Drosophila melanogaster: one gene and its partner. The gene in region 2 interacts genetically with the main gene of each other region. Each region holds a gene or a part of one and is shown on either strand. Other genes may lie near its edges.

Region 1 (5,904 bases), on a different chromosome or scaffold from region 2:
CAGCGCGGCTTTCAGCTGGTCAATCCCACAGAGAAATGGTTCCCCGGCATTGAGGAATTGCGCTCCAACTACAGCTCTTGGGACTGGGTCATCGGCAAGACTCCCAAGTTCACCGTGCAGAAGGAACTGGAGGTGAAGGGCGATGAGCAGGACATGAAACTGAAACTAAGCGTGGAAGTGGAAGCGGTAAGATTTGTTTTGCCCTGTTTTAGAGAATTATCACTTATGATTTTACTAAATTTGTAGGGATTAATGAAGGAGATCGGCATCCAGCTGCCGCAGAGCGATCAGCTCGTCCCGGTGGTGACTCCGCTCCAGGGCAAGCCCTACAACGAGGAGAACCTGAACGGAATACTTGGCGCCCTTAAGCTCGTCAGCGCATCGAATGTGAAGCAGGCAATAAACGGATCAGCTTGATTACTGTTGTGCTAGCTCGAAAAAATTAACAAAAAAATATATAATCCATTTCTAGAGCACTAACCACGCTAACGTAGTTATAATCTTTCCAAGAAACCATATTACTAACCTAGTATTTAAGCGGTTTACCAACAAACTATTTACTTTTGTTACCACGTTTTATATAAAAGAACTGCATTAAATGTTTAAACATTGATTATTAAAGCATACTGCTGTATTATTTAATACTAAATCAAAAAGCGCAGTATGTATAAAAATAGTTTTTATTTTGTATAACCAATGAAACAAAATGGATTTGTAAAAATGAATACAAAGCTTATATGCTAAATCTTTAAGGCACTTGTTCGCTTTCTTTTGACACAAATTGGTTGTACATATGATTAAAAAATATATTACAAGCTATAAACATGAATACTAGGATACGGAACAACAATAGTGATCTGTGGGTTCCAGATCGTTAATACGTTGAAAACGAAATAGAAGACATTGCATAAATAGCTACAGAAAATTGCACTCAGAACGGAAAAAATGGAAAATGGAAACTGGCTTAAATGTGAACCGTTTGCACCAATTCCGGCAGGTTTTGGTAATCAGGATCGCGGGCGAAAAACTCGGTGAGATAGACAAAGGTTGGCCGATCTTTGGGTCGTTCCTTCCAGCAGCTCTGCATCACGGCATAGATGTAAGCTGGACAGAGATTGGGCTGCGGCAGGCGTTCGCCACTGTCCACCAACTTGATGGCATCGACATTAGATATTTCCCCATATGGCGGTGCGCCGAGGGAAAACATCTCCCAGATGGTCACGCCAAAGGACCACACATCACTGGCGTGCGAGAAGATGCCCAGGTTGAAGCTTTCCGGTGCGTACCAGCGGATGGGCCAACGTCCGCCCTGGGTGAATTGGTATTCCGTGCTACCGGGTCTCAGTGATCGCGACATGCCGAAGTCACTGATCTTCGCCTGGTGGCGTGCGGTCAGCAATATATTTCTGGCGGCCAGATCGCGGTGTACAAAATGCTGTGATTCCAGATAATGCATGCCTGGTACAAACATTAATTAATTAATTGAATTGAATCAAATTGTCTTGAATTTGACTTACCACACGCAATCTGTGACGCCCAAACTTTCAGCTCCGCATTGGCCGTGATCTCATGACCATGATCCAGTATGTACTGCAGCATGGAGCCCAACGGAGCTAGCTCTTGAACCATCATTAGCATTTCACCCTTCGCAATGCCAATCAATCGCACAATGCACTTGTGCTCCAGCCGCATCATAACTGATGCTTCGCGCAGGAACTCCTGTTTGTTGCTGTGCTCGTCGCTAAGCATCTTAATGGCCACCTCCAAGCGCGATTCCTCGCCGGCACCGCTCTTTCTCAGCAGCCATCCACTGTGCACCGAACCGAATTCCCCGTGCCCGATCTCTCTATCCAGCACTAGTTTTTCTGGCTCAATAAAGAATCTCAGCTTGGCGGCCTCCACCTCAGTGGCGCTTGGTGTGCTTGGCGTACCGCTGCACTTGCGATGAAGATAGCTGGCCATCTCACTTTCCGTTGATGCGTTCGGACCAAGCGAGTTTAGTCGCGCCACGGCGGGCGCCTTGATCTGCTGATCCAACAGGGATAGCACGTCCATTGTGGGCTGGTAGCCGTTGCCGATCCACTGACCTGCTCGCTCGCGCTCTATGGCCACATCACTTTTCGTGAAATACTCAACTTCGGCTTCAGTCTTTTGGGCAATCGGTGGCAGGTCAATCTCAATGGGCGTGTTGTTCCTGGGCACGTTGTACACTTCGCCAGCAGCGGCGGCACCAGAACCAGTTACGCCATCCGCGTTAAACGTTGAGAACTCCGTCGAGAACGACAGGCTCTTCAGCATGGGTGCCGCTGCCTGCAGCTCCTGCTCCGTTCCGGCCAAAGAACCACTCACACTGCTCTCGGAGTCACTGCGTTTGCCCTTGGACTTGTTTTTGCGCAGGCTGTTCATGTCGAATAGCGCTTTCTTCGGACTCGTCAGTCGCAGAGTGTTGAACATTGAGCTACTGTTCTCCTTCTGCTTTTTCTTCGTTATGGTCAGGGCGGGAACGTGGGGGTGTTGATGATGCGAATGTGGCGATACTGGAGTGGGCGGGGTAGCGGGCGATGCTGCTTTTGGCTTCATATTAGATCGAGGTATTGTGGCAAACGATGGCACCTCTGGCTTGGGCTGTGGCGGAACCGGATACTTGAGACTCACTGGCAACCCGTACGAGAAACGCATGAAGTGGGCTATTAGATGTTCCACGCTTGGCCAGTAGGGACCGTCATCAATGTACAGAAACTTGGACTGCAAAACAGAGGTTACTTTAAAGAGAACATTTAAAGTACGGTGATAACTTACCCCGCCCGACTGCACCTTGTTACCATTCTGGTAGAGATCAGCTTGCGAAATACGAAAATTCTTGACCACCTGATCACAAAGCAATGTTAAAACCAACCCCGAGGCCGCCGGCGACTCGGAGTAGCGAACCAGAAAGCAGCCGGAGGTGTCTACTTCAGGTTGCTTGGCCAATAGCTCCTTGGCATGCTTTTTTAGTATGGCTACTGCCTCTTCTCTGGTCAGAGTGCCATGATACCACTGGTCTCTTGTGGTATTCGCCGGTGGGAGCTTGTAGTTGAGCAGGAATTCTTCTACTGCCGTTTGGCCCGCTTCCTTGGCCAGATCGAATGGAAATTCACCCGAACTTGTTCTGGGCAACGGCGGAGCCTCAGCCAGGAGCAGCTCTTGCACAGCCTCCAGGTTGCCGTGCTTGGCAGCCTCATGCAGCGGCACATAGCCGTTGTCGATGTTCCTGCCCTGGACATTGGCCTGTGCCGAGATGAGTGTGCGTATGAAACTGGCCGGTTTGGAGCGAGCGGCGTACTACGAATGTAAGTGTATGGTTATAGGGAGCTTTATGCATAGTTGTGCGTGGGTAAACCTACGTGCAATGGCTGGCAGCCAAAGGAGTCGGAGCTGTTGACCTGGACCTTTGCATTCAACAGGTGTTTCAGTATATCCTCGTCCGAGTGGAGGGCAGCCAGATGCAGAGCCGTCTGTCCATCCTGATTCTTGGCATCGAAATTCCGATAGCCGCACTTGAGCAGCTCGAAGACGACCTTGCTCTCGTTTTTGCTTGTGGCGCGATGCAGCAGATTGGTCACTCCGTGGCTGCGAGTGTTGTGCGGCGGCAGATCGCGGATCAAGGGCACCGTCAGCTTGGTGGGCAGACCATTGGCCGCCTGCTGATAGTAGTCGACGAGCGTGTCCAGGCCGTGCAGTATCTTCGTCTGTACCTTGTCGTCGATGGAGAAGAAGGCGTCCTCGCCGCCATGTCGCCGCACCTGGTAGTGACACACCTCACCCTGGCAGAGCAGGCTCAGCACAAAGTCCCCGGCCGCTGTGCTGCTCTCGCGCACCAGAAATGTCCCGTCCTCGTAACCTGTTGATTGATTGCCATACCAATTACCCATCATTGTGCTCCACCACGCCCACATCCCAGCGATCATCACTGATGTCAGGCCAATTGGCGTCCTGCGCCAGCACTTACCCTGCTTTAGCAGTTCGTCGGCTGCCTCGCGGGACAGGTTGCCGTGGTACCATTTCATGGGATCACTATCGCGACTCATTTTTGGGCCATTTGCTCCGATCCTGCTGCGTTTTGTTAATAATTTTGGGGAAGTGTGATCGTTGGTGGATCGTAGGAAAATACCGCCAGCGATCAGTGTTGCCAATTTAGCTTTCTTCCACTTGATTCTGGCTTTTTTACTTATGATATTTCAATTTCTTTTAATTTTCACGCTAAAAGTTGGCAGCACGGCCAGGGGATGGTCGCGTTGCCAACCAAAGAGAGTTGGCGGGAAAATTTAAAATTTCACTCTTAAGATTTCATGGTTTATTATTCATTATTGCTGATTTAAAAATAACTTAAAAGCGAGTTCAATTAAAACTTGATTCTATACATCAATATAAATGCTCGCATAAGTGATTATAATTGTTTATATAAAAATACCTATTTATAATAATATTTAATATTATGTCAGAATTATCATCGATCAGCTTGCATCGCAGAAATTCAACGAATTAATTAAATGAAACTATATTTAAAGTAGTAATAAAACACTTGTCTTAATTGTTTCGCATCTATTGTATATTTTCATTCTCATGTGTTTTTTTTTTTATTCTCATTATGAAATTTTCGCTTAACAAAGTATTAAATTATTGGCGATTATGTTACGATTAATTTTCTTTTCGCTCTGCAGGTTATGTGAGAATAGTCTTAAGCATTTAAAAAACGACTATACGCTAGCATACAGCATCGAAATTAATAAAGAAATCTAGGTTATGAAATATTTATAAAAATTAAATGTCATCGTTTAGAATATTCATATTCATATCCCTTACAATGTAAAGAAAAATTAACGCAAAGCCTATTTTAGTTCCGATTCATTGCTTAGATTGAATTTCTCCGCTTTCGATTTCCTAGTAAGTATTGTGGCAACTTAAGTGACTAACGATACATACACGAAGAATACATAATTATCCCCCCCAAAAAGATATACACCCAAACACACTCGCTCCGAACAGCATATTTAAAATCTGGCCCCTAAAACTTATTGGCTAAATTTTCAGTATGGTTTTTCCATTAATTCTCGTGGTGCTCGATGGTGTTGGCTTTATTCCACCGGTGCAATTTTGTTGTAGGGCAGCTGTGTTCAAAAACTATGCTTAAAAAATAAATTTCCATATTTCGCTATTACGGGGAATTTTGATTTAATTCAATGGCCTGTTCCATGTTCCATATTTTTGGTGTGGATATCGCTGCTGTTAGTGTTTCTGCTGTTGATTAATTTTTGCTTGGTCCTTTCGCTGGCTGTTGATTCATTTATGGTGCTGTTCGGTCCATTAAAAGTAACTAAATTGTAGTGTAGAGCAAAGTTTTAAAGTTTTAAAAGTATCATATTTCGAAGCGGTAACGAATTCCGAGTTCTTCTTGGGCTTGTTAATATTCATTCGGCTTTACATTTATGACTTTTCCTTTGTTGATTTTTGTTGATATTTATATATATATATATTATGTGTGAATTTAATTAATTAGCTATTGAAGGGAGCCCATCACAGTCTTTGATTTCAGAACATCATTTTCATATGAAAAGACAGTTTCCTTGCCGTTTTCGACGACCCTGAAAATGCAAATGCAGATATGAAACGATTCTATGATGGCCAGATAGAGTTTATCATACCGTTTGGTCATCAGTTTCTTGCCATTCACAAACACCGTCGAAGTGGAGGTGCGCTTGACACTGGCACCGGGTCCGCTGGAGATGTGGGTGACACCGCTGCTGCCATTGCCGTGGGTCATCGACGAGAACGAGGTGAAGCCGCTGGTGGGCATAAAGAAGTCCATCATTGAGTAGTTAAGCATTGGAGCCCCGAACGGACTGGCCACTTTGTGCTGGTGGTGAT
Region 2 (7,178 bases):
GCGCGGCGCCGCCTGAAAAAAGAGAAGAATTTGCAAACTTTTTGAAATTGAACCGTAAATAAATTGAACGTCCGGAAAAATGGTTTGTCACTTACCACATATATTTGAGATCTGAATGCCCAGACGTTTGGCGGCCATATACAATTGAAAATAAGTGTACTCCCCATTGATGTCTTTCACGGCGATCTCATCCGGATAGAGCATAGCCTTTTTGAACGTGGGCACCACCACATTACTACGCTCCTCTTCATCGAAACTATGGCGCAGCTTCTCGATGAAGCCATCCTGCAAACATTAAATAGAAATTGTGGAATTGCAATTACATAAATATTATATATATATATATATCTACCTATATATATTACCTTATGTATCAATTCGGCGGAGCAAAGACGGGCCAATGGACGCAACTTTAACTTGTGGCAACGGCGAAGTAGCAGCATCTTACTGTTTTTTTTTTGTTTTTTTTTTTTTTTTATGGATTATTTGATGGTGTGTGCGCGAATGCAGCTATTTTAAATAATAGTACAAAGAGCAAAATTTAACTCAGATTTTCAGTTGCTATCGCTTGAAAAGCCAAAACGATTCTGAGATTCGTAACATGACATACTTGAGTGGACACAAATGAAAGTCGTTCAATTCGATTTGTTTGATTTTTTGTTGGTCTTTATTTACACAATAATAGTTTGCAGACACAAAAATTAATAACTACAATAGTCATAATCGTAAACGTAAGGTAAGTAAAAAAAAAAAGATGATATATTTCAAGTAAAATGAACGTCACTATTTTTCTTTTGGTATTTTTCTTATTTGTGTTCGCCTTCGTTTGTTCGTTTTAATTTATATAAATTTTTTTTTTTTTTTTTTGTGACCTTTGCATAATACTCAAAACTGTCGTTTACAACAATCCTGGCTTGAGAACTCGAACGTGCATGGGGTAACGATGGGGCGGGTTTCTTATTTGGGTTATTGAGAGGAGGTGCAATCGAAAACAACACTTAAGAAACCTATTGTATATTTACAGTCTAAGATTGAGCAAAAAAAAAAAAAATAAGAGTCAACTATTTTGGGTGATTTTTGAGATAATGGCATTACACCGTTTGTTCCTATGGCAGCTATATGATCTATCATACAAAAACGTATAGGAATAACAATTCGAATAACCGATTTATATGGCATCAAAACCTTGAGAAGACGGACGGATAAACGGAAACAAGTACAATTGCAGTGTATTTAAAATCTAGTTCCTTTAAATATACAAAAACACATATATTTAGCATAAATCGCATACACATTTTGTAAATTTTCGTTACGTCCATGATTCGATTGAGTTTCATTTTTCTCTTGCTTTAATTTAACACTACATTTTAAGTAAGAGCCGGGGGAATTTTTCGAGTGCGATCATCAAGTGGCGGGCAGTGCTTGCTAAAAATGTAACAGTTTCACAATTAACAATACAATCACAGATTACGAATTTAACATAATTAACGAAAAACAATTACAAAAAAAAAAAAAATTGAACGATTCGAATGGTATTTGTTTTTGGCTTGGCAAAGGGAAGGACAAATTCTGGGATTTAGAGATTCGACGCACTTCCTTCCCTCGATTTCCAGCCAGGAATTTCTTTCTTTTTGTAGAACTGTAAGGCACTCGGCAGTCTCTTCTTTTTCACTTATACTCAAAATGTATGAAATTATGTAAAAAGTTACTGGCACGTTACTGTTTTCAATTTTGTTTTTTAAATTTTTTTGAACATACATTTACATTTGTTATCGCAACACTTAAAATGTATCGCGAAAAGCACACAAGCTTATTCATCTGGCGTCGTCCAATAACGAAATAGTCATGAATTTGACTACTGGGAAAATCCAAATTAACATGTCAACAAGTTGTGTTGAATTAAATTGAAAACAGCAACAGTTCTGGGACAAATAAAAACTAGGACTATCTCCTCCCGATCCACCCCAAAACCCCACTGCACCCAGTTCGATGCCAGGATCTCTGGATCCTTGCTATCGGATCTGAAATCCTTAAATATTTTACACTCGCTTCGGTTTGCTGACCATTGTGTAGTTGAGGCCATTATAGCTGCGATGATCGATGGCTGCCGCCTCGAGATTGCCGCCTTTGTTGGCCGTTGCAGTTGTGATGGTGCTACTACCGCCGCTGATATTGCTATTGGAGATTCCTAGATTATTATTGTTCGTAGTGGTGCTAGCCTTTCGCAGCACCCCGTAACCGCGATGACTGTCATCGGCTTTACGGAAGCTTTCCGTATCGGGACTAGCGATCAATTCGTATTCATTGGGTGGCGGTGGACTGCATCGTATGCGATTACCGGGTGTGACATTCACAATGGTCTTATAGCCACTCGATGTCTTATTGTTCGGCGATAGAAAGTCTAAACGATCGTAATTCGATTCACTAATGGATGTGGCGCTAGTGCAACCCTCACCGATATCGATGTCTATGATCTTGGGTGTATTTTGGCTGCCACAGGTGGATTTCGATACTGATCGCTGGCGTACAAATTCTGAGGTATCGCAGAGTATGGGCATACGTTCACTGTGCCTAACATCGCCCACGCCCCTTGTGCGCCACGCCTCTGTGATATTTTCGATGCACTCGTAATCCCGCTCCGGAGGCGGTGCTTTCGAGGCGCTCTCATTTCGCAGCGGCAAGTCGGGCGGTAAATCGGCTGCTGTTTCCGGCAGGGATATCGATTCGCCTTCCAGGGGTTTCAGTATCACTGAACTGTTCACATCGGAATTGGCGGATGGCGAAGATATCGTAGTTATGGCCACAGGTTCATATTTCACAATATTCCTGTATTTATCACAATGGGTTGTCGGGCTTTTGCGTGGCGGTTTGTTGGGAATGTGTTTGCTGCTGCTGCTGTTGCTATTGCTATTTGCGGGCACGGATAGCGTGATTCCTCCGGTACTTCCTAAAACGCCTCCACCCGTTGCTGTGGCGCCACTTGCTCCACCTCCACCCGCCGAGAAGTTATTAAGAGAATCGTTAGAGCTAATGAAGCCCCTCAGGGATATGCAGCTTTGCGTTGAGTTGATCTCGAACTCGCCACCGTGGGGATTACTCGACGGTGATGGTGGCAGTGGGCTTCGCGAACCGGGCTCCATGCCAGCTGCCGCACTAAACTGATTCTCACCGCACTCCAAGGTGCTCAGACTATCGCCGCTAATCAGTTTCTTCATCGACTTCATCTTGGCGGACATGCAGCGGAATACCTCCTGTGGATTGGTGTGATCCAGGGTGAAAACGCCTTCGCCGGTGGTGCATTTTCTGCCCGCCTCAAAGGTGAACTTGCCATCGCGATAGCCGTACTTCCTAATGAAACGATATGGCCACATGGCGATTGTGGCGCCCAAATCCTCCGATTTCAACTGAAGTTCAGTGGGCGTCATTTGGAGCATATATGTCTTAGGTTCAATGCAGCAACGAATGGAGGCCTCGGATGGAATCAACGTGATAATGAACAAGCCATCCTGCAAATTTATAAAAGGTGTGGATTATTATGGATTTTTTATGCGGTTCGGTTTTTTTTATATTCTTATTTTAAACGTGCCAATTATTGTCAGAGACTAAAAATGGAATTGGAGGTGCATTTTCACGTTAGTTTCTTAAGAACGCTTTAGATTCATCGTATACCCCTTTTGACAACTATAAGATTACGCAAATATAACGAAATACCCCAGAAAGTTTTCGCTTATACAGAGATGATCACTCACAAAGGAGCTGCAGTAGAGGTCGTTGTCCTCCTCGATGGCCCCGATTCCCCCCGATGGTGAGGTGTCACAGAAGGCCACCGTTTGCAGGGCGGTGATCCAATCCTTGAGCTCCTCCTCGCTACTTGTGCTCAGTGTTAGGGTAGCCTGCCGCTTGACAATGTGAATGAGGCGTTCGGGAGGCGGCTCCTGAGTGATCTTCACACAGTTTTCGAGGGTGAAGATTTTGGGGTTCCGGTCCTCCTTGCTTTCGCACATCTCCAGGCGGGCAATCCCATGCCGACTGGCCTTGAATAGCAAACAGTAGCGACTGCATGCTTTCTGCAAAAAAAAAAAGAAAAAATTGGGATTCGATTAAATCGGTTTGGATGTCTTAAAACGATTATATCTTAGTAACGTACTGAAGAAGATGTATTGTATATGTATATGTATATGCATATGAAACTGCAGTGTATAAATAACCAGAATCAATTCAAATTTGTCTTAAGATTTTGTAGTATCCTGCATTGGATAATGCTAAAAAAAAATATAAAAATAGAGTATGAGCATAATGGGCTAAACCGTGAAGTACTTATTCGCCCTCACTCTGCCCCTTCTCTGCGATCCCCTGCACCACCACCCTTTTTCCCCAGTTTTCTGCTGGCTCAAGAATTTCCTGTCGCGCATAAACACAAATACCACGAAGTAGCATGAATCGCCAGCTGTGTGTGCCATCTGAAACTCCAACAGTGGGGGTAAAGTTATTAGGATCAATGCATAGCATGTTATTCGAATTTTAATTTAACTTAAAAGCATCATATTATTACTGCCTGATATATTGTTTTTAAATACGGTTTCACTTAATTCATTAAAGGGTTTGTGTTGGTCTTGGAATATTAATATTATTAAAAATGATATGCTAATATTATGGCCTTAACTGTATGAAGTCGGCCCCTCTCTCGCTCACTCCCTCTACCGCGTATCGCTGTCTCACTCCCACTCGCACAGTGGGCCTCATTTGTATGCAACAAGTATGCAGACAGAAACACATGCACATAACACACTCACATTAACACATAGGTCCTGTTTGATTTATCGAAAACTACGCACTTGTAGGATAATTGCAAACAGAAAGTAACTTTTTAAACCCTGATAAATGGGGAAATATTTATATAGAAGGGCGGAAATACGGCGATTTTCCATACCTTTTTCGAGATGCGATTTAGCGAAAATCCAGTTTGGGTCGGCACATTAAGATATCCAGCCAAAACAGGTATTTCAACATCCATTCTGTGCACCACTCCTCCACCTCTCCTCTCCTTCTTCCCACTCTCCTTCGTCTCCTGCTCTCTTTCCCTCTCCTTCGCCGATCTAGCTCACACAATGCGCCTCCGATTCCGAATTGTTGTTGTTGTTGTTGTTGCTGGAGTTGGGCTATGCGATTTCTGGAGTTTTCCTTCAATTCATCCGTTTTTCTGTGCTTTACGATAGCTTCGCGGTCGCATTTAGTTGATCACTTCATAGTAAACATCACATCATATCGCACAGCGAATACGGAGATTCGAATTTCGAAAAGCGCAGCCGCAGCACAAAAAAAAATCACCAAAAAGCGAGCACAGAGGCAAGTCGACTTTATTTATTTATGCGCTGCACGGTTGCATGCAGCTGCTGCAATCGTCATCGATAACTAATGGCGATCGATAACTTATGGTTTTTTGGTAACAAAGCGGTTGAATTATTTCTTAGGTCTAAAATAATAAATTAATATCATATTTTTATAATCTTGGTATGTTTTCCTCTCCTAGCGCGCAATTTTAATTTCTCATAATTGCGTTGTTGGAGTTATCAACATTTCGATCAATACGAAAAACTTGTTATATTATTTTTTTGATATTTTATATTATTTTGAATGCAAATATATATATATATATATCTATGTGAAATATTAAGTTACAAATTTATGGTGAAAATATTTTCTGTGAGCAAATATTTTAATCGCGTGTGTTTAAAAAAATAGCTATGAATAAAAATAAATCAAACAGTCTGGCAGCAAAGTGGCGTGCGATATTTCAGCGTTGCCATCTTCGAATGCCAAGTGCCATCACTATTATCAAATAGCATTGTTTCACCCATCTGGTAACATCGCAAATCGTATTGTGCAAAAAGGAAATATAATTTAGCCAAAACAAAAGCCAAATAAGGAACATGGCCCACGACCGCGAGGTGCTGCGAATGATCTGGGAGGGCCAGATAGGCATATGCTTCCAGGCGGATCGGGACGAGATCGTGGGCATTAAGCCGGAGCCTTTCTATCTGATGATATCGCGACTCAGCTACTTGCCTTTGGTGACTGACAAGGTAAACAAAGGCTTCAAATGGAAATGGCCATACCAATTATAAGATCCCAATGACTGTCGTACATATCCTGGCAGGTTCGCAAGTACTTCTCACGCTATATAAGCGCCGAACACCAGGATGGAGCTGTGTGGTTCGACTTCAATGGAACGCCCCTGCGACTTCACTATCCAATTGGTGGGGTTTACATTAACGAGATGATGATATCATAGCATGCCCATTTGATACTAATGATGGTACTGTCTTGAATCCTGGTTAGGTGTCCTATACGATCTGCTGCATCCGGAGGAGGACAGCACGCCCTGGTGCCTCACCATTCACTTCTCCAAGTTCCCCGAGGACATGCTCGTCAAGCTCAACTCCAAGTATTTATTAAAGAAATCGCCATACCAGTTTGTGTACCCCACAGTCGTGTTTGCGAAATCTTATCTTTAACACGTCGTAACTTGGGATTGCAATCATATATAGTTTTCCCTTTTCGAGTCTCAATGAACAATCACCGTGGATGTCGAAGTAATAACAGGGTAAACAATTGCCCATCAAGCAAATCCCGTGTTATAAGAGAAAATGTCATATAAAAGTTGGACCAAATATGAATTAACAACTTCGCACAAAGATAAACGTACCACAATAGGGTTTTTAATACGTTTCAAATATTTGAAAATAGCATAGTTACCTCGACTAGGGTACACAAACTGTTGGTTCCAACTGAATTTTTACTGATGATCCGCAACTCTTAGGGAGCTACTTGAATCGCACTACATGTCCTGCCTGAAGGAGGCAGATGTGCTTAAGCACCGCGGCCTGGTCATATCCGCTATGCAAAAGAAGGACCACAATCAGCTTTGGCTGGGATTGGTCAACGAAAAGTTCGATCAGTTCTGGGCCGTCAATCGGAGGCTAATGGAACCGTATGGCGATTTGGAGTCCTTCAAAAACATTCCCCTGCGAATCTATACAGACGATGTGAGTGGAAAAGCCGAATTAGATCCGTTCAGCTTAAATTGATGGATTTTCCACTTGCTTTTATTTTATCTCCATTATTGATAGGACTTCACGTACACCCAGAAACTGATTTCACCGATCAGCGTGGGCGGA

The links.
Region 1: of Dok (region 2) and Shark, changing one suppresses a phenotype caused by changing the other (phenotypic suppression), as found in Drosophila melanogaster (one study listed by BioGRID).

What each region holds. Positions count from the first base shown.
Region 1 is NT_033778.4:16,198,761-16,204,664, forward strand, and holds Shark (SH2 ankyrin repeat kinase), read right to left. Parts: upstream 4,125-5,904; 5' UTR 4,068-4,124; coding exon 3,989-4,067; intron 3,881-3,988; coding exon 3,384-3,880; intron 3,322-3,383; coding exon 2,800-3,321; intron 2,746-2,799; coding exon 1,518-2,745; intron 1,459-1,517; coding exon 965-1,458; 3' UTR 666-964; downstream 1-665. Other genes in the region: Lipt1 (lipoyltransferase 1), read left to right, coding at 1-186, 247-417; mrj, read right to left, coding at 5,537-5,621, 5,682-5,904. UniProt on the Drosophila melanogaster protein: Following axon injury, required for recruitment of drpr and glial cells to severed axons and for glial clearance of severed axons from the central nervous system.
Region 2 is NC_004354.4:7,322,425-7,329,602, reverse strand, and holds Dok (downstream of kinase), read right to left. Parts: upstream 5,390-7,178; 5' UTR 5,015-5,389; coding exon 4,931-5,014; intron 4,068-4,930; coding exon 3,750-4,067; intron 3,507-3,749; coding exon 2,040-3,506; 3' UTR 797-2,039; downstream 1-796. Other genes in the region: Acsf3 (Acyl-CoA synthetase family member 3), read right to left, coding at 1-12, 96-285, 366-443; Atg5 (Autophagy-related 5), read left to right, coding at 5,931-6,083, 6,158-6,257, 6,340-6,445, 6,821-7,046, 7,131-7,178.